Drosophila melanogaster: one gene and its partner. Changing the gene in region 1 together with any one later gene gives a genetic interaction. Each region holds a gene or a part of one and is shown in the gene's direction. Other genes may lie near its edges. The genes, in order: exex and Oli.

Evidence for each region.
Region 2: of exex (region 1) and Oli, changing one enhances a phenotype caused by changing the other (phenotypic enhancement), as found in Drosophila melanogaster (one study listed by BioGRID).

Annotation. Positions count from the first base shown.
Region 1 is NT_037436.4:7,943,188-7,954,257, forward strand, and holds exex (extra-extra), read left to right. Parts: upstream 1-4,998; 5' UTR 4,999-5,178; coding exon 5,179-6,098; intron 6,099-6,963; coding exon 6,964-7,234; intron 7,235-7,369; coding exon 7,370-7,756; 3' UTR 7,757-8,376; downstream 8,377-11,070. Other genes in the region: CG43880 (uncharacterized protein), read right to left, coding at 2,555-2,805, 2,860-3,097.
Region 2 is NT_033779.5:17,584,049-17,593,705, forward strand, and holds Oli (olig family), read left to right. Parts: upstream 1-5,135; 5' UTR 5,136-5,531; exon of another isoform or gene 5,532-6,163; 5' UTR 6,164-6,191; coding exon 6,192-6,763; intron 6,764-6,823; coding exon 6,824-6,950; 3' UTR 6,951-7,219; downstream 7,220-9,657. Other genes in the region: CG6870 (uncharacterized protein), read right to left, coding at 7,650-8,063; Sytalpha (synaptotagmin alpha), read left to right, coding at 8,276-8,285.

The DNA of each region.
Region 1 (11,070 bases):
CATTATCTGGCAATTGATTGCACTTATGCAAACAATTACAAACTGCCAGGTAAACAGCAGTGCCGTGTATCTGTATCTCAGCCCGAGTATCTGATCAAATAAGGAGCACAAATCAAAATGCGATTTTCGTGCGTCCTTCTTATCGGAAAGTGTACGTTTACCTTTCGCTTCCAATCGTCTGGCGCTTCATCGCACTCACTATATGGTCGCATATTTATATACATATATACACATATACATATCAGGAAGTACTCCCTGCAGAGGTTAAAAAACTGCGATGTCGCAACGGCAGCTAAATGTATCTCAACTGTGTGCAAACAGAAGCACCCATTCCACTCCATTCCACTCCACTCCAAACACCTCGACTTGGTTGGGTTTTGGTTTCGGTTTTGGCTCTGGTTTTCGGTTTGCAACGGCTTGGAAATTTGTTTGCGCTGTGGCTAATGAGGCAGTCCAATGCAGATACAGAAGCTATAAACATATACACAAGATATAGATACAGATACAGACCCAGATAAAGATATCGCGTTCATGTTGCTTTAAGATTGCGTGATTACTGAGATAAACTTAAACTGCAATCGTTTAGCACGGGTTGTTGCACATGTATTGTAACTTTTTATTTTCTAAATTGAAATATGTTTTCAGAAGTATTCAGAAGAACTACTCAATACGCTAGCAAAAAGTTATATATTACGATTTTTTTAAATAAATAACAAAACAACATACTTAGAAACCGGAAAGTAAGTTCATTCAAAAATACCTCTCTACCTTCTGTACCCTTTTAAATCTTATTTTCATCAACACTATCAGCAAGATTTATGATGACCGAAAATCATTGATTACTATCAAACGGCCCTAAAACCTTAAAGCGCTAATCTTTGCCGAGCGGAAACTAAATTGTATTCTAACGTAGTCTAATGAAAATAATAATTTGCAATCGTTCAGTAAACAATTTCCTCTCTAAGCCCCACACCAAGGATTATCAGTGGTGGCGGTATTATCTCATTAATGATTCCCATAATTCTGATACCAATTAAAAATAATAAAGAAATACGAGGAAGGGGAAAAGCTGAAATGAGTTTATCAGTTTTTAATAAGTTTGCTTCGTTGGCGAGCCAATAACAAAAGCAAATCAATTCGCGCACTTAATGAAAAAACACAACTCAATTATAAACTTTATCAGCGGTATTTGGGGCGGAGTTTTTGGGGTGGGCTCTCTTTCCTGGACTCGCAGTCATTTAAAAGTCATTTTCTCAATGCAAAAATTCCATTGAAAATTGTGTGTATATAAATGAAATTAACTTTTGCATTGCCATATTAAAAAATATTTATTTCACTTCGTCTGTGTACTTACGTTGATTTACAATGACGTGTTTGTTTCGTTAAGCATGATAAAACGGAAAAATTATGGAAAAATCAGCAGTTAAGTTCCACGAGTTTGTAAATTAGTTGGGAAACATTCAATTTGCAATCGAAAATTAAACATTTTAATTTACCTCCTTAGAAAATGTGGCAATCATTTGGTAATCATTGGGGTCACAACAATGAACCGTTTCTGGGTTTGTTTAAAACATTGCACGAAAAGAAGAAAATCCAAGCCAAACTGTGGGTGGGTGGAATAAAAATGCAAATAATAAATATCAAAGTGCAGTAATAATTTGCATTCACACACTTGTATAGTGAACTCGCTGTGCCCACAACTCTGTCAACATAATGAGCCAGCCAATTGGAATGGCAGGCACTTTGTAGATACAACTGGACGAAGTAGCCGTATCTGTGTATCTTTGTAGCTGCTGAAATGTAAAAATTATTTATTGATAACGCAATTTAATGCCAATTATTTGCACATCAATATTTGCTCAATTATCAACTGCAATTCACTTGGGGTGCGGTTGTGATGTTGTGATTAATGAGCAACTCCAATGATGATCATGATGATGAAGGGTGCCGTGGTTTGTTTTTCACTTTTTTGCGGTTATTGTTTAAGAAATGTTTTGAAAAACCTTTCCACTTTTTGATGTATCTATAAAGGGGGATAGAAAACAAGTGCCAAAGTCAACTCAATCAACCCTCCGCCTTCATCCCTTTTTGCCAACCTTGCAACTTCTGTTTACTTAGCTAACTAAGGCGCTGGAAATCTGTTGAAATTTTCTGGCATTATTGTTCACTTATCGGCTGAATTAACACGACGACGTAAAGGGAGAAATGCCAGGTTCAGGATATGTGCTACCCATCTCTTTCATACTCGGTTCATCCCTCTCTTTCATTTCTATATGTTGACCGCATCAGCTAAATTGCAGCAGCATATGTGACGATTTATTTTTATTGTTGATTTCTATTAGTGATATTTGCTGGCAAATTTAACGCCTGATTAGCCTAATATGTCAGAAAAATTCATCATTGATCCAAAACAGAATTTATGGGGTTGCTACTGCAATTTGATGGCAGTATTTTTGGATTGATTTTCCATTGAAAAAAAGATTTCTTTTGATTGGCTGTTCCCCGTATTTTGTGTTTCGTGCTTTAAAAAAATTGATTTAAATATTTATTTGGCTTACAAAAGTAGTAATGTGCATATTAATGTCGATAAGACTATCAAATTTGATATCCTATGATTAGTGGCCTTGTTATCTTCGTCTACAAACCAATTTCCGCAGGGACATGTCTTATTTTCCATCAACGATGACCAAATCGCCCGACTGCACATATGACAACGTACATTATTCTCAATATCTGCACCTTTTCTTTTGAGCTTTTGGCATCCCATTTCCGGTGACCAGAAACAGCAATACCCGAGTATTGGCCCTATAAATTGGGAACTAGTAAGTGATATGAAAGTATTATGGCTAAGCTACTCACTTTCTTTTACAAAACCCATTCCGGCTGGCAGGCAAGTCTGTAGAAATGGCGGTAATTTGGACGAATTTACATGAGGATCCAACTTTAGGGCATCAATCTCGAATTCACAACTCCATCCGGTTGTGGTAACGTCGCAATCTCGGTTTATCTTCGAACAATTCGCACATTGCATTTTTTCATAGAAACTGTGGACGTTGGTAATATAAGCGGCTATAATCCAAAAAAGTTTCCCAAACATATCGGATACCAAATGTGTGTATTTCTTCAAGGACTGCTGGGTTTAAAAATTACATTTTTAAAATTTTAAAAATTAAATTTTTGGAATCAAAGTGCTAATATTTCCAATTAGCACTTAAGCTAACTTAAATCAAGTTTACCCATAACGCTACCTTTTCAACATTTTAACTCTAATTGCATATTTACGTAACCATTTCTCCCCAAAATCAAAATGGAATCAGATAAACAAAATGCGAACTAAAAACCGAAAACCAATCCAAAACCCCACACTTTCAACATAAAATCCCTCCACTTTCGAACCAACCAAAGGCCCCAATCTCATCCCTTTACCCTTCGACTCGCTCTATGTTTGTGTTGTTATATAAAATAAACTATTCCGGAATAACACAAATCATACGGGGGGCCAGAACAAACGAGGCTGGACCATTGCCAGGTCATGTTCCACGTTTCCCCCCCTTGTGCACCACCCATAAATGTTAGTTAACTGCACGTGGATGAGTAGATAAATATGGTATAATGAAAATAAAATAAGAACCAGATAGAAACTTGGTGGAGGGTACGCGGGGGGGCGATAGAAACAACAGCAATCAGTCGTCATTGCAGACATCGCACTAATTTTGAGTTAGTTGTTGGGAAAACATTTTCGGCTTGAGTTTGGGTTTTCCCGAAAATTGGGAGTGAGTCAGTCGGGCTTCATTTTTGTACGTGGGCAAGGAAAATATACTTTGGCACGTTTCTTGTTAGCGAACAGTTTGCTCCATTCCCTGGACTCACTTAACTCTTTTCCTGTCTGGACATTGCATTATATATGTATGTAGTACATATTATGGGTTCTATTTATTTGAGTTCCAAGGTCTGCTCCTTTTCAATTGCTTTGTCTTTCTGTCAGCTTAAAATTGGGAATTAGTTAAATATGTTTATCTTTAATATTAGATTAAAGTAAAGAGAAATCCCTTGTAAGGAGAAATCCGCCTATTTAATCTGCCCAATATCAAGTTATCAAGGTGAAAATCGATTGTATCTAAAATCGTAAGATAACGCCTATGTTAATGTATTCCATAGACTTCCATTCAATTTGATGTCCTTTGCTACCGCATTCAATTCATTTATAGCCACCCGCCATCTTCTTAACTCTGAGCCACTTGGCCAACCATTCATGTCCACTTAGTAATCCATCAAGGGAACATTAAAATCGTCTCATCTGGCTGAGCGTAGGTCGTAAAGAAAATGCATTATAGGGGCATTACGGCGGTAGCGCCAAACTGCCAACCGAGTTATAAAAGCGCCATGAAACGAGACGTTTATTGTTATCGAGATTATTGATTTCTGGCCGGGCTTAAAGCTGCCTTTTGGCCGTTTTGTGGATCGTGGATCGCTGCTCGTCGAGTGCCTTAATTGCTGGCCTAATCATCTGCCAGACTTCCTATAACCTATTGGCCCTCCTCCATACCACCACTCCCTTTGGCAGCCATTAAGGACCTTTCGAGCCTCCGAGCACTCCCACTTTCCACTCTCCACTCAAGTTGATTATGAAGATTCTTTCGTCTTTTGCCTGCTGAACTTGCTAGTTGCTCAACACTCCATAATGATGGCAATTATAGCCTCGTTTTTCCAACAATTTATATGAAATTTGCTGCTGCCAAGCTCACCCCCCTCTGTCCCTAGCCACTCTTTCTCACCAAAGCCACGCCCCTTCGATGGACATTTTCAGCCACTTAGCCACGCCCCATGCCATCAGGCTATCTCTGTCGCGCTTTCGTGTTAACTGCCAGATACTCCATCTTGAAAGCGGGTTTCCAGAGAGCGAGAGAGAGAAGCAGAGCGGTACTGATTGCACCACCGTTGCTGCTTCACACTGGCATTCCGTATCGCGTATATGATACCACGTTTGGCTACCAGCAGCGCACAGTCGTTAATGAGCGCTCGTCGAGTTCGCTTCGCAGGAAATCACAGCTCGCGTTCGCACGCGTGTTCGTAAAATCGTCGATTTCGAAACGTGTTGGAAAGTGTTTGGAAATTTTGAGAATATATACATATATTCGAAAGAGTATAGAAACTGAACTTTGGTGAACCGAGTGAAGCATGTCCAGTGCCCAAGTGTCGCAACAGCCGCCTCCACCGCCGCTGACCGCCAGCAGTAGCACCTCAATGCCGTCGCAATTGCTACTTAGCCACATTCAGCACCACAGCAGCAGTCTGCACCATCAGCGCAGTCATCAGCGATCATCGCCACCTGCCCAGGACTACGATCAGGGCAGCAATCAATCAACACTCTCGCCCAGATCCCAGATAACACCCAGTCCGCCGGCAGCCAGTCCCACGCATTCGGCGGCCACCACAGGATCACCAGTTAGCACCTATACACCGGCCTTGAGTCCCGGTGGTGCACAGGATAGCAGCCAAACGGAGAGTGGTCAGAGTTCACAGATGCCTCTACTAGTGGCTCCCATGCCCGTGGGCACTGGTCCGCCACATTCACATCCACCGCCGCCGCATCCTCGTCTCTATGTGGAGGGTTTCCCGCCACCGCATCATGTGCCACATCCACATCCCGCCCTGGGCACCTATCCTCTGCCACGACTGCCCCTTATGTTACCGGCAAATCCACCAGGTGTGCCATCGGGAGCGGCTGCACCACCGCCCGTCTCACCGCAACCCGCTGCCAATCACCTGAGCCACAGTGGAGCCACCATGGCCACAACCACACTCCTGCCACCCGCCCAAAGTCAGCCCAAGAAATCCTTCTGCATCGATGCTTTGCTGGCCAAGAGCCAACACCAGTCGGGTGAGCCACAGCCCATCATTGTGGATGATCGTCTGGCTGCCCTGCACTATGCCCGGGATCAGGCGGAACTCAATCATGCCTTTGTGACCGCCTCCAATGCGGCGGCAGCTGCTCAGGCGGCTGCCTCGGCCGCCGGCGGCATCAGCGAACAGGAGGCACTGCAGCGCATCCGGGACTCCAGGGAGTACGACTCACCCAGTCCCGACGGCATGTCGAGGTGAGTAAAGAAATTTGGGATGAGCATAACTATAAGGAAGATTTCAGAGGGGGTTTGAAAAGAAAAGCATATTAATAAGGCCTGAAAAACTTATTATGAGTGATCAAAAAATAGATAAAGTTTATTACTAATAACGTTACACTATAAAATGTTTTTAAAAAGGTAAAGGTAACTTGTTTATTATCACTATTACTTAATTTGTTTTAGTAATTAATTTATACTCATGATAAATTTCAATTGTTTATGAAACTATTCATTTGATTGTCTATACTATCTGTCCTGATAATTTAATTAGTCACTTATTACAAAGTCTTACCAATAGCTTTGGGTTAAATAATACAATTTTTCGCCTAATACGAACACTTGCCTCATATTATTACTCATATGCATTACTTTGCTTGCTAATACCCAGAATTTAAAAACGATTCGTATAAAAATGCAGCTCTTACCAAAAATCCCTCAACTTCTTGTTGAAATCCCTTGGCTGGCTACCAAACAAAACCGTGGCACTTGGTAAAAACCATTCTGAAAGCCAAAGCGAAGCCCCAGCGAAGCTCCAAAGCAGCTTTGCTGGCACTCGAAAATATGGCAATGAAAAATGTATTCAATTGGTCAATTCCAATTTGGTCATCAGCCACAGAGATTACGTATACGCCATGTGTCTGCCGTCACAAGTGTGTGAGTGGCTAATTTAAAGTGCGAATTGTGTACAAAGAAGCAAACAAATTAGAGGGAGGGCGGCGGTAATATTAATTGTTTTCAAAATGTGTCGCGTAATTTCGATTGTCGAAATCGATTGGTTAGATAATTCGCAATAAAGGGTGCCCCATTAAGTTTTTTCCCACAATTTTTTTTATTTTTGCAGATCAGAGTCGCCCACTTCGTCGCACCGCTCCAGTCCGCCCATCAGTCCCGGTTGTGAGGATCAGCAGCAGCCCCACGGTGCACTGCATCCCCAGCATCTGTCCATGCGCATGTCCGACTTCCACGACGAGTTCAAGAAGCCAATACCACCCCACAGTCCCATCAGACCCCAGGATTTTCCGCTCTACGCAGGAGGACATCCCTACCAGCTGCTGGCCCAAGGTGGATCCGCCTTCCACAGACCTCTGGATCCCTCAGGGAAACCCATTCCGGTAAGTAAAACATTAAATATATATCAATATTACAAAGTAACTATTGTAATAAAAATTTTAATACGAAATAGATCAATATATACAATACTATCATACAAATCATTTGCATCGTATTTTCCTTATTTATCCATGCAGATACCCATGGGTCATAATTTCATGCCGTCGCAGCTGCAATTCGAATTCCTGGCCCGCGCCGGAATGCTGCACCATCGAATTCCCGAACTGGCCGCCTATCCGCATCATGCGATTCTGGGCAAGACCAGGAGACCACGAACGGCCTTTACATCGCAGCAACTCCTCGAGCTGGAGAAGCAATTCAAGCAGAACAAGTATCTGAGTCGGCCCAAACGATTCGAGGTGGCCAGCGGTCTGATGCTGTCCGAGACGCAGGTGAAGATCTGGTTCCAGAATCGTCGGATGAAGTGGAAGCGCTCCAAGAAGGCGCAGCAGGAGGCCAAGGAGCGGGCAAAGGCCAACCAGCAGCAGCAGCAGCAGCAACAGACGCCCAGTGCCGCCAGTTAGGAGTTGTAGCAGTAAGGAGAAGCAGCCGGAGGATCTGTTGGATCTGGAGGAGTGGTCTCCAATCTAGTCATGCCGCGATCAAACCGCCGTCCCACCATTAAAACGAGACACCCTGTATTCTTGCCCCCAGTTTCATTCGCGCAATCGGTCTAAATCTTTTTTGGGTTTTTTGCACTTTGATTTCGCATTATTATTTTTATTTTGTGCCACAACAACTGGTCACTGTGTGATATATGTGTGTGTATATGTAAACAAGAAATATAAATTAAATTCATTACCCCCTTCTTTTTAGCCCCTTTATGTACATAAACATAAATCTAAATAGGAACACGAACATAAATAACAAAGTAAACATAAATCTAAACTAAATGAGTAATGCTTAAGTAAATAAATTACATTAAATGCGATTAGTTTAGTTGGTAATTTACAATTTGCTTGTGTAATTTGTGTAAATAATTGTAATTATGTAATTGTAGTATTTAATATTAACGAAAACAACAAGAGCCATTAAGAAAAATAACAAATATAAAGTGTATAATAACGCATTGCGATTGAATTAGTTAATTTTCTAGATTTTATTTTCGAAATCAAAATTGGAAAAAATAAATAACTAAAAATATAAGCTTACAAATTTTAATAATTGGGATAAATTAAGGAACACAAATGTGGCAAGGTAAGATATGACTTATAACAACTACTTTAAATAAAACTTAAATTAACTGGAAATCTACACGATTGACTTGCTGAGAACTATTCCACTTAATTCAAGAGAATTTGAAGAATTTTTGATAATACAACTAAAACCATAAACTAATTTTTGCCATAAAAAGCAAAGCAATGATTACGATTGCCAGAAAAATGTATGAAGCGAAATGCACTGAAAAATATCCCAAAGTAACAAGTAGAAATAAACATAATTTATATATATTCTAGCAAATATCTAATCTGACTGGCTTTGAGAGCTGTCTGTGGCTCGAATTTATAAATACACGACGGCCATAAAGAAAGAGCTATTAGCCACATATTCGTATACTACCAATCAAAATTCTACTCAATTTCTCGCCCTTGCGATAATGCCTATCGCAGCAAATAAATCAAAATGTGCGCAGATAATCAAGTTAATTGCTGAGACAATAATTATGACTAAATTTATAGTATCACTTCAAAATTATTTCGCTAATTAAAATGTAGCCAACTTCAGGCGAACAACGAACGCACTTCTTAGTTTCTTGGCTTGTTGATATCGATTTGGTTTATTTATTTTTTTTTTTGGCCTGCGAGTGTGGCAAATTGAAAAAATCATGGTGAGCTTCGATTTCCGGCAGAATAAGAGTCATATAAAGTGTTATTATCAGGCAATACCATACAATTGGTTGGAATACAATACAATACAAGTTTTTGATAACCGCTTGAATTCGGTTTAACGTTCATCAGCTACTGAAGTGATTGATAAGTATTTACATAAAATATAAATTATTATATATATATATATATATGTTTAGTTCTTATCAACGTAATTTTTAATGTAAGCTTCTTTTGAATCTTTTATCAAGCAATCAAATAATATATGATTTAGTTCCTTTATTACTATACATACCATTATCCTGCTCATTGAAGATGACATAAAGTGCGAACTCACTTGGTATTGTTCTAGCCACTTTCGATTGCATTTCCCATTTCCCATACCCAGTACCATTTCCATTCCCACTTCCATTCTGATGAAGAGAACTCGTCTGTCCACTTTATCACGTAATTCTCAAGTATTTCATAGACTCGCACACGACGGACTTTACGGGTTTTATCGACGCTGTTGGTTTGCCTTGAAGTATGCTTTATATTGTTATTATTGGTTGTTTGATCTGTTGCTGTTGTTGCCGTTATTGTTGTTATTATGCAGCAGTTTCTTGTTTTCTGACGGGCTAATAAAAATTCATTTCGTTCCTCTGCTTGCCACTAAACACGTAGCGCATTCTTGGCTGAGTAAATGAGTGGAGCACACATTTCTATAGAAGGGTACATATGTGTGGTACAGTGGGTAAATCGTATGAAAGGCATATACAGTTTTAACTCATATTTAAACTTATCTATCAGATATTAGCTACTCAACAAGAATTTCCAAATTGGGTTGGTTTCTATCCTTCGCTCAGCAGCTTTTCGACAGCTATACAACTTTACTGCTTAATATTTAGAGATCATAAATATAACATCTTTCTATAGTTTTGTAAACTATTTATTAGTTTATAAATATAATAAACACTCAAAAAAAAAAAAACATTACAAAAATATTTTTATATTGAGATTTTAAGCATCCTTCCTTAATTACTGATCCCTTGGCACCTTTCTGCCCCGAACTTGACCCACTGTGCACCCTGGGCTGCGGTTGCTGATGCTGCGCTTTATTTTGATTTGCCTTGAAGTGGCCAAATGTGTTGAACCAGAACACAATACAATTGAAAAGGGGAAAGGGGACGACGATTTTCCCCTAATTTCAATTCATTGAGCTATTAGCGGGTAATTTGCAGCAGGAGGAGTTTCAATGAAAAACCGGCGAGAGCATAAAAGGGTGACAAAGATCAAACCGTAGAACTGGAATTGTATTCGGGATGGATATTCCTGGATGCTGTCCTTCGGGATGCCTGCTGCTGATTGTCGCATCTGTTGCAAATTAAATTTGCGTTATAATTTCTATAAACACACAAGCGTTGAGTTGAGGAAGGCACACACCCAGAAAATCGACGATTGAATTGAGGGTTCACTTCCCGCTCCGCTGTCAAATGTTTCCCTCCTCGTCTGACTTTGTTGCTATTGTTGCTGGTGTTACAATTTGGTTATCCCCTGTTGGGCAACGTCATCAGATGCACTGAAAAAAAAAATAACTATCTGTTGTAGCTGGAAGGTATAATCTCTTCAAAAGTATTTAATTTGGCTTTAATGTTTTCTAACTATAATTCATACTTATTTTAATCAATATCAATTTCGCAAAAGTTGTCATACACTTATGTTGTATTGTTAAGTTATAAACTTATGTTGATTTATATATCAATACTACAGTTATATATTTTTCCTATTTTCTTCATAATTCGATAAATCCAACGTGCTTACTTTTCTCAGTGGATGACAACCCTCTTGGGTCGACTGGTATTTATCGTTCTAGTCCCGGGTTCCAATTTGATCTTCATGTCAACACAGATGATCACATTTTATGCTTAATTTTGTTATATGTGATGTTTGCTTAACTGATTTAGCGTCCATCCACTGCCCAGCCAACCCCTCTAATTTCTATAAATTGGCATTGGGTGCATTTTTACGCTAAT
Region 2 (9,657 bases), on another chromosome or scaffold:
AGCAGCATCCACCCAGCAAACAAGGACAACAGCCGGGAGGAGTGCATAATTCATCAAAATCAGCAACAGGAACGGAATCGAACAAAAGTTGACTCTCCCAAGGACGGGGTGATGGAAATCGTGCCGGGGGTGTACATAAGTGTACTATATCGAATGGCTTCTGCCGTTACCTGGACTACGATTGTAATTGCAGGCCATGGCTGCCTTTTGGTTAGGGGCATAATCAAAAATGCGTGTGCACCACTCGGCCGAACGACGCATAATCCCAAATCGCACCGAGGGGCATCAGCAACATCGGCTTTAGTACACTTTGAAAAATAGCTAGCTAATTAATTCAAATTAATTGATAAAGCTAACGGAACTTGAAGTCCTTCTTGCGAAAGAAGGAAGCTACTAAACGATACAGAAGGTACACGTTATAATGTTTCGGAAATAGAGAATATAATAGTATTCCTTTTCAATCTGAAATAGCCCATGTGACTTTGGTATACACATTATATTATATTATAATATATTATATTATAAACTAAGTTTATATAAAGCCTTTATATAAGTATGATGTTACTTACTTTTATTATATTCTTTTGTTATTATATATCATATAACTTTATTAAATAGTATTAATTTGTATATAACATGCAAAAATATGGACTTGAAGACACCTGTAAATTGTTTTATTTAATGATTATGATTTATGATTTCTATTTGTGTAGTCCAGAGACCCTGAGGTGACTCAGCTGACATTTATCGAGCTGTACTTGGGCATTGTTGGGTCCATCCAGACTGCGTCTCCTCCTACTGATCCACCCACGGACCATCGTCCTTCGTCCTGTGCCCTCGGCCCTCGCATCAAAGTTGTGCCCTTTGTTTTCGCCTGGTTCCCGGTTGCGTGGTCCTTTCTGTGTCCTGTGCGTGGTGGTCCGGGCCTGCGATTTTTTTTGTGTTTTTGTTCCATCCTGTTTCTGCTTTTGGTGTTCGGTTTGGACTCGAGCTCTTCTTTTTCGACTTCCACACGGCCACCCTGCTCCCTTTTTGTTTGTGTAACATTCCATATCCATTTGCAACAACGCGCGCAAAACAACAAAAAAAAAGAGAAGCGAACAGAATAAAGAACCGAAGGGAAACCGACAAACAACCCCTTTTCCACCCTTGGGGGTGGTGCCGAATCCTCAGACTCGTCCTCCGCCCCAGCATCAGCAGCATTTTAATTCGAATTGGTATTGCTCCGGCACTGTTATTGTTGTTTTGTAGCTGGCTTACCACCCCAATCCCCTCTCTCTGGAAAAGTCCTGGGTTCAGGTTCACCCTCGCTGTTTGGTTTCCATTTGATGCTGATAAATTGTAAGTACGCCTGGGTGGGCAGCGGGGTGTTAAGGATTCGCACTGCGGAGGAAGTTGCATACATCGCATAATTTGATAAAATATTGCACGCTTCGCCCTTTGTCTGAAATTATTATTATTTCGCTTCTTTTTTTATTTTTGGTTGTACGCAGAGCGCATATGATGGGCATTAGATGTAATCAATAAGAGCTCGACGCAATCCATTCAGTTCGGCTAATGGATGAGAAATCCTATCAAAGTGGCGAAATCAAATTCTGTGCGTTACAGTTTCCTTTTTTCCGAGCCACGTTTTGTGTGCAAATCGGTAATAATTTAGAGTGTGATGGCTTTCACGGGAATTACATTAAAACAAAGCGAACCGCACAGTATTTTGGGATTTATTCCAAAGCGGTATACTTTTGTAGAACCTATACTAAGAATCTGTGGGTAACTTGCATCAATATGAACAATTAAAGATGAAAATCTGAGCAAGTTACGTCTAAGGTTAGAAAATCATGGACTTTTATCAATTTTTGCACACAAAGCCGACATCAAATCTTTCCTTTTCTGACATACCAATAAAACAAAATCTTCCAATTGCTTTTTGTATTTTGCCTTTGTTAGCTTAAATGGGCCAAGTTTATCTTGGCTTGAAGAACTTGCGGCAAATGGCAAATGGCGAAAGGGCATCAAGCCTGTCAAGCCGGAAATGAGCGATAAATATATCTTCATTCGCTTCTTATTTTGAACGCAAGTCGGCAGCGATTTCCCCAGCGTACAATTGGCACATTTTTTGTATTTCGTTGACGTCTGCCAATAAAAGTAACAAAATAAAATATGGCACTGCCAGGAGTGCGTTCGTGTGTGTGCGTGTGTGTGTGACTGTGGCCTGGGGATCGGAAGTGCTACCTTGAAAACGATACGCTGGGGAATCATTAGGCGAACCGTCATGGCTGCCATAAATATTGCCAATATAACGAAAGCACATCGATAATAAGGTTAGGAAGCCATGCTCGTATATCCAGGAATCAACTGAATCTCCGAAGAGAGGACAAGCCAGGGCGGAGGGCAGAAAAAGCCTCTTCATAAATGTGCCCAATTGGTTTTTCAACAATAAAATGCTAATGATTGATTCACATTGCCCCATGGAGTGCCGTTAGTTCGAGCCAAGGCCCCACAGAGCCAAGGATTCTATGGTTTTGTCTAATTTGCGCATACCCAAACATTAAATTGGGGTTTTCAGGCTTTTGCATTTGTAATTTTGCCTGACGAAAAAGTCAGGGTTGTAAGTTGTCTAAAGCTCGAATGAAAGATACCTTAAAACTAAAGTTCAAAAGCATTTTCCATGATATTTACTGTGATATATTAAAAAACTGCATTAATAGTTAAAAAGTACATTGAATAATTTAATAAAATTAGTTAACAGCGTCACAAAATGAATAGAGCCACTTATGTCCATACCCGCGGTGGCTTAGTTCGAGGGTCATCCATTAACCCATGACAACCCTTTGACGGATCACGAGGTACGAGCCAAAAAATCCCTGGGCTGGCCATTTACAATTGGTCCGCAGTGCGGAACCTAAGCTAATGATGACTGGCATGCACAAATGTACAAATCTTAATTATGCAAATCACGGTCGCGCATAAATTATGCAAATTATAATGAAATTCCTCATTGCCTTTGCCGGACCTGGGATCCGGGAACCCGGATACGGAACAGCGACAAATGCCCATATATATGTATATGGATTGATAAAAATGTGGCCATAAAATGAAAAAACCGAAAATTTAAATTTCGGCTGGCCCGGGGTTGAAAAGTCGAAATGATTGTGTTGGCCGTAGCTGAAGCGCCGTAAATTGCAATGTAAATGCTGCATATATAAACTGAATTAGTCCCAGAACAATTACAACAAGGGAGAGTGCACTGCGATTGCAAATATACCCGATTCCGATCCCGAGCCCGAAACCCAAAAAAAAAAAAAACTCTCACAATCACGCAGCAAATGGTGCATTGCCTAGAGGGGCTGTCCAGATTCCGGATTTCATTGAAAATAATGGCATACGGTGACTGCTGCCCCGAACATCTGACACAATAATTTTCCCTACGAAAGGAGGGAAGCGCAAACAAAGGCCAAATGGAAAAGTTGCCAGCGCAAATTATTAAATTTATCATGCGCGAAGTCATTAGGTCTGTCGCCCGTGCTCGTAGTTTGACTTATTCTAAGGACTAAACGACTGCAGGCAGCTCCACGCACACACACTCCGCCACTTATACATAAATGTCCTGCGAGGCCCGAAGTGTGGAAAGTCATTAGTGGGCATTGCAGTTGACAGGAGGATGGAGATGCTGGCTTTGGATAATAAACATCTGCTTTAGCTATGGAACTTGTAAAATAACAAAGTTTATAACTTTAAAAGAGGCATCTTCGAAAAATTATTTCAAATTTTGACTTAACAATTTACAAGTCGATAAAAAAAAGAATGTTCACAGATTTTTTCGATTAAATTTTATTATTAAAAAAATTCTCTATTGATTGATTTTAAATATTTATCAGAGCAGCACTAACAAAGAATCTTCATCGGACGACTTTTTAAAAAAATGTTTGATTTTCATGATAATTTTGTTAGGTTGTCATTTAAACAGCGGATTTCTAAATATTTCAAAAAATATTTCAATTGAAAAACACTCTTATAATACTCTTAATTGAAAAATGTGTCCTTTTATATTTAAATTAATAAAAATATACCCACACCCAAAGATTGCTTAAAACTAATAAATACAATCAAATAAATAAATATGTGGCCTAGATCTGCCTAGCACTTCCTATCATTTTCCATACCTTTTTCTAGCTTATGCCTTTGCCAACGAAAATATTTGGCATGTGCCATTTATGGCATTGTTCCAGCTTTGAACAATGCGATACCATAATTTCCAGGCAACTCGCAAACGCACAAACTCGCTCACGTAGAGAATGCCATGCAGATGCGGCATCCTCTGAGCTATGCTGTATATGGGCATATAGGCGAAATACTAGGATGCACGGGCTATGGACGGCTATTCGTGGTCCTTGTTCCTCGTTCAACCCCCTAGGACAGGAATCCAGGACTGGCCAGGCGGCCCAGGATCAGCAGGCAGTGAGCATGTGATTAGATTCAGTTTCAATGGAAATTGAAATCACAGACAAAGGAGCGGACCCGGCGGATTCAGGGTGCGAGGGGTGGTGATGGGCCATCAGGGTTGAAAAGGAGCGAAGCGATAAAAATCCTGAACAACAAGAAAAGTGAATTTTCGGACAGGCAGGGCAAAGGCATTAAAAACTTCATACACTTGTAAAAAATTTGACTGCACTAAATAATATTCAACAATTAAATGCAACTTTGAGAGATAACAAAAGTTTTTGGTTTTCGTTACAATCAAGTGTGGTTATAGTTAATTATTACTTAACCAATTGAAAAATGCAGACTTTTATTTAATATACAAAATAATGATTAATAATGAATAGATTATTAATTAGTATGATTTTATACCATTTTTAAATGCAAATATGTAATTGTTAACTTTTCAATAGCAGATTAGATTTATGTTAGAAATTATTATTATTTTGTGTAGGGTATATCTGATGCTATATGTTATGTTTCAAAAAGGTTTCGATCATTAGTAATCATTTTTTTTTCTTAGTGCTGAAACTGTGACTCATTCACCTTTGTGAGTATTGGTAATAATCGTGCTGTATGTATTGGTGTGGATGCTGCATTATGCGAAGCCCAACCACTAAACGTCAACCACCGGCGTCGACACCCGACCCACATTTTATATAGTGGCTCATAATATTCCTTCTGCAGAAAGAGATTAACACCAAACGGCGACGGTGGCGTCGGTGGCAAAAAGTTTATAATCATCCTCGCTGACAGAGCGAAAGAGACGGGCGATTGGAAAGCATAGGCGGAGGCAGGGAGAGAGAGAGAGAGAGTGAGCGGAGAAAATCGGAAAATCGTTATGCGACTACTATAACCCACCACAAAATCGCGGTCGTCTCTGTTGTTGCCGGGCACCTCACACTCGCGCATCGATTCCGATTGCGATTCAGGATCTGAATTTTTTGCCTGGTTTGTGGTGCGTGCGATTTTTAAAAATGTTTAAATCCGCAATTTCTTTCTCCGTGCTCTGTGCTCTTCGTCCCCTTCGTACACCGGCGAACTTGTGATTTGTGGTTAATTTAAATTAATAATCTTTTAAGTGTGTCATGAATTAACTGCAAGTTAAATAAAGTGCTGCGTCGATTTTGCATATTTTATAATCCATTTCGTTGGGTTAATAATTGCCAAATTTATTATTTATATATATTGACGTATAATTTTAAAGTTTATTGTTTTCTGAAGTGCTGCGCTCCTAAATAAATTTAATGCCGCTAAAATTGTATTCGCCATGAAACATCATATTAAACCATCCCTTAAATTGGACTACTACACAGCGCCACCTATGAAAAGCTTTGATAAGCTTATATTCATCTTGTTAATCTGACTACCGCGTAATATTTTGGCTTTGAATTTCCGAAAGGCTTAACGATTATTTTGCTTTAATTAAATTTAAGGAATACCTGACAGACGTTTGCAATTTGTTAAACCATTTCGGGTTAAAACACAAAACAGATGCTCCACCTATAAAAAGCTTTGCTAACCTATTAAATACATAAAATTCCGACAGATGGCGCTACCGAACAGCTGAGCATACGAGTATTCACCCCTATTTTTTAGTTTTCTTATGCAACCCTGCATCATAATAACTTTGATTTGCAAGGACTACCCTAAAAGATTACACATCCCTTCAACCTTTTTTTCACAGCTGGAAAAGTCCCATAAAATACAAAAAAATGGATCCCTCGAATCTTGCTTTTGGTTTTCCCGGTCTCCCCAACCACGGACACATGCCAATACCTCCTACAGCCAATATGCTTGGTGGCCAGCATCCAGCACCCACCGCCAGCCCACCACAAAGCGTCCCCGGCCGTCGGACGCCACTTGGATCGGTTGGTCTGGGTGGTTTCTATGCCCAGGGAATGGGCATGTCCCAGCAGCCACCGACGGATGAGAACAAACCAGGGCCCAGTGCTCCGGAGAAGCCATTGAGTCCCACGGCCGCCGCCATCGCAGCCATTGCCATCAGTGGTGGCACCACCACGGTGGCCGTGTCCAGTGGTGGCGCCAGCGGAAGTGGCTCCAACAGTGGCAAGCAGAAAAACCGCCAGGGAAAGACGGTAAGGCTGAACATAAATGCCCGGGAACGACGAAGGATGCACGATTTGAATGATGCCCTTGATGAGCTGAGAAGTGTGATTCCCTATGCCCATTCGCCTTCTGTGCGAAAGCTGTCGAAAATAGCCACCTTGCTGCTGGCTAAGAACTACATTCTGATGCAGCAAAATGCTCTCGAGGAGTTGAGAAGGTAACGTAGTTCATTACCACGCTCAATAGGAATTATTAACATATATGCTTTTACTTTTAGACTTTTGGCCTATATACAAAGCACCACGGGAGCAGCGCCACTGGATTTGGGTGCATTTCCGGCGGCTGCCAAGTTGCAGGCTCTTCTTCAAGGACCTCACAACGAACCACCGACTAGCAGCAGTTAAATAGGAGTGGGGGCCACCATAAACTATGGTTCAACTGATAAGCAATCCATTAATGAGCAATACTTTTAAGTCAATTGGAAAGCAAATGCCAAATACTTGTGTACTAGTCAGACGAAAGGAGGTTGATAAGGAGCCTCTTATCAGAGCAGCCAAGTGAAAATCTGTTCAGTGATATTTATTTTTGTCATAAGCATTTCTTATTTATGCATTTACCCAATGTCAACCAATATGTGTAAGATGAATATTACCGAATAAAGTATTATTGAAGTAGAAAGTATGTCGTTGGAAAAGGGTTTGGTCATTTAGGTTTACCCATCAGCACTGATAGAAGCCTGTCATTTTTCAGAATCATCAAACAAACAAACAAAATAAGAGTTTCAAATACTCAAACACGCCCAACCCAACCAACCATTTATAGTCATCAGATAACAAACATCAAAGAGCACAATCAAATTTAAAATAATATAATCTTAGATCCGTTTCAAGTCTTGGCAAAAATATTTAACATATAAATATACATACATAGTTGTCTGTATGGTTTTTGATGATTAAGCAAAAGCCGTTTAGCGGAATTCGAAATAAGCGGATTACAACTAGAAAACTAGTCGATGAATACTCTAAAAATATATATATATATAGACATATACGACATGGAGGACGGCGGCGAAGGCGATCGGTGCAAAATCGGCTGGCATTATATTATTCCGGTATGCCCAGGGACAAAACCTTGTTTTTGCCAGTGCGAAAAATGTGCTGCTTGGTGGGCAGTTGACCGATCAAGAAATCCTTCATCATTTCGATGGCATCCCCCGAGTGTCCTGTGCCATGGAAGGCGATGGTGGCATCTCGCCCTGCGTGATCCATAATGACGTCGTCGCCGCCGGGATGATCCCTTAGAAAGTGTGTCACATCGTAGACCCTATCGTAGATTACCACCCAGCAATCGTCGAAGCTGTCGTGCTGGGCCACCTCCTCCAATGCGATCTCCGGCAGATCTTCCAGTTTTAAACGTTCCTTTTTGCTTGGTACAACGACCACCTGATTACTGGACTTTCCATGTCCCAAGGGCACAATTCTCAGCGATTGCAAGAGGTTCGTCAACGCGGATGACATGTTGTAAGTATGCAATTACTTTCACTTTTACTAATATTTGATACAACGATTTGTAATGCCGCCCGATCACTTCAGACAGCCGGCAATCGATTCAAGTTGAGTTCTGCTTGGTCGGCTTCAGTTCCAGTTTTACTTGGGGTCTTGAGTGTCTTTCGTGTGCAGCCACCGGTACTGGAGTGTCATTCATGCCTTGGATTGTAATCGTTTTATAAATGACAACACGTGAGTCGATCGATGGAGCCGACAGCATGGTGATAAGACTTCGTGTCCAGAGAAGCGAAGCTCTTATAGATCGGTTTCTATATAATATATAATTATATATATATATATACATATATGTATGTTCAACCGAACTGGTTTGCATCTACATATGTTCATGGGAGGGCTAGGCATTGCACTGAGATTGCGAGATTTTGCAATAATGTTTTGTGGTCACTCGTACTCATATGAGTCAATTTCCGAATATGCTCGTAAAGACGAGCATAAATTATATATTTCTCTGTTAATCGGATTGCTCAGTGAGCTAATTACTTGCTACCTTATAAATTTAATGGGCCAGCAATTATTAAAAGGGAGACATTTAACGCGCCTATCAGCATTACAATTGATTTATTGGCACAAGTCAAACGTGCATCGGGCGAATCAATTACGTCTACTCGAACCGTTTGATCGCCAGTCATTAAGGCAATCAAAATAAATTTTGGGTTAATAGCCTGGAGTTATTTACTTTTAATACTTAAATGCGTTTTAAGTTTGCCAAAAATCACGATTTGTGTCAAGCCACGTTTGTTCTAAATTCTAATGGGAACAGAGATAATGACTTCAATATTATCGCTCACTACAACTTTGAACTTGAAATTGGAATGGATTCGGAAATTATGCCACGCTTTTGAACTATTTGAACCATGGGAATGATTTTAATTTTACATGGAGTGAGTACGTTTAATCAATAATTATTACGAAACTAAAGATCTGATGAAATTATTCAGACTATTTAATTTCCCATTTATTAAATTCCAGACAGAACGCCATTCACTAATTCTGTACATTGTATTGTATAAATAGAAAATATTGCAAAGCTAAGGAAATAGTTCAAACTACGCAATATAAAACATAAATATTATTCAAGTAAAAACAACAAGAAATTATTTCTAAATAATAACTTTTAAGACGTCACGATTCAATTGTTATTGATCATTTATTATTTTCAATTGAGTTCAAGTTTGATGTGTGGTTTTAACAAGATTTGGTAATCTAATATGCTAGCATCTCAGTGTTAAGATCAGCATTATCACGTTAAGTAATTAACCGCAAAAATATTCAAAGTCGTAACTGAACGAGCTCTTTAAATGGGCTAAACCATTTGACTTTGACTTTGAGGTTTACATGAACTAGGTGTATCCATATTAAATATCTATTGATGGTTAGAAAAAGCCTGCGAATAGCATTGCTAATAAAAGGCAGAATATATTTCAGTTCTAAGAGGTTATCATTCTAAGTGTGCGTGATTGCGTACATTTTTGAAAAAAACGCGAATCTTTCTTCGACAAGAATATTTGAATAATTGCCTAGTGTTATCAGAGTAGTCTAGAAA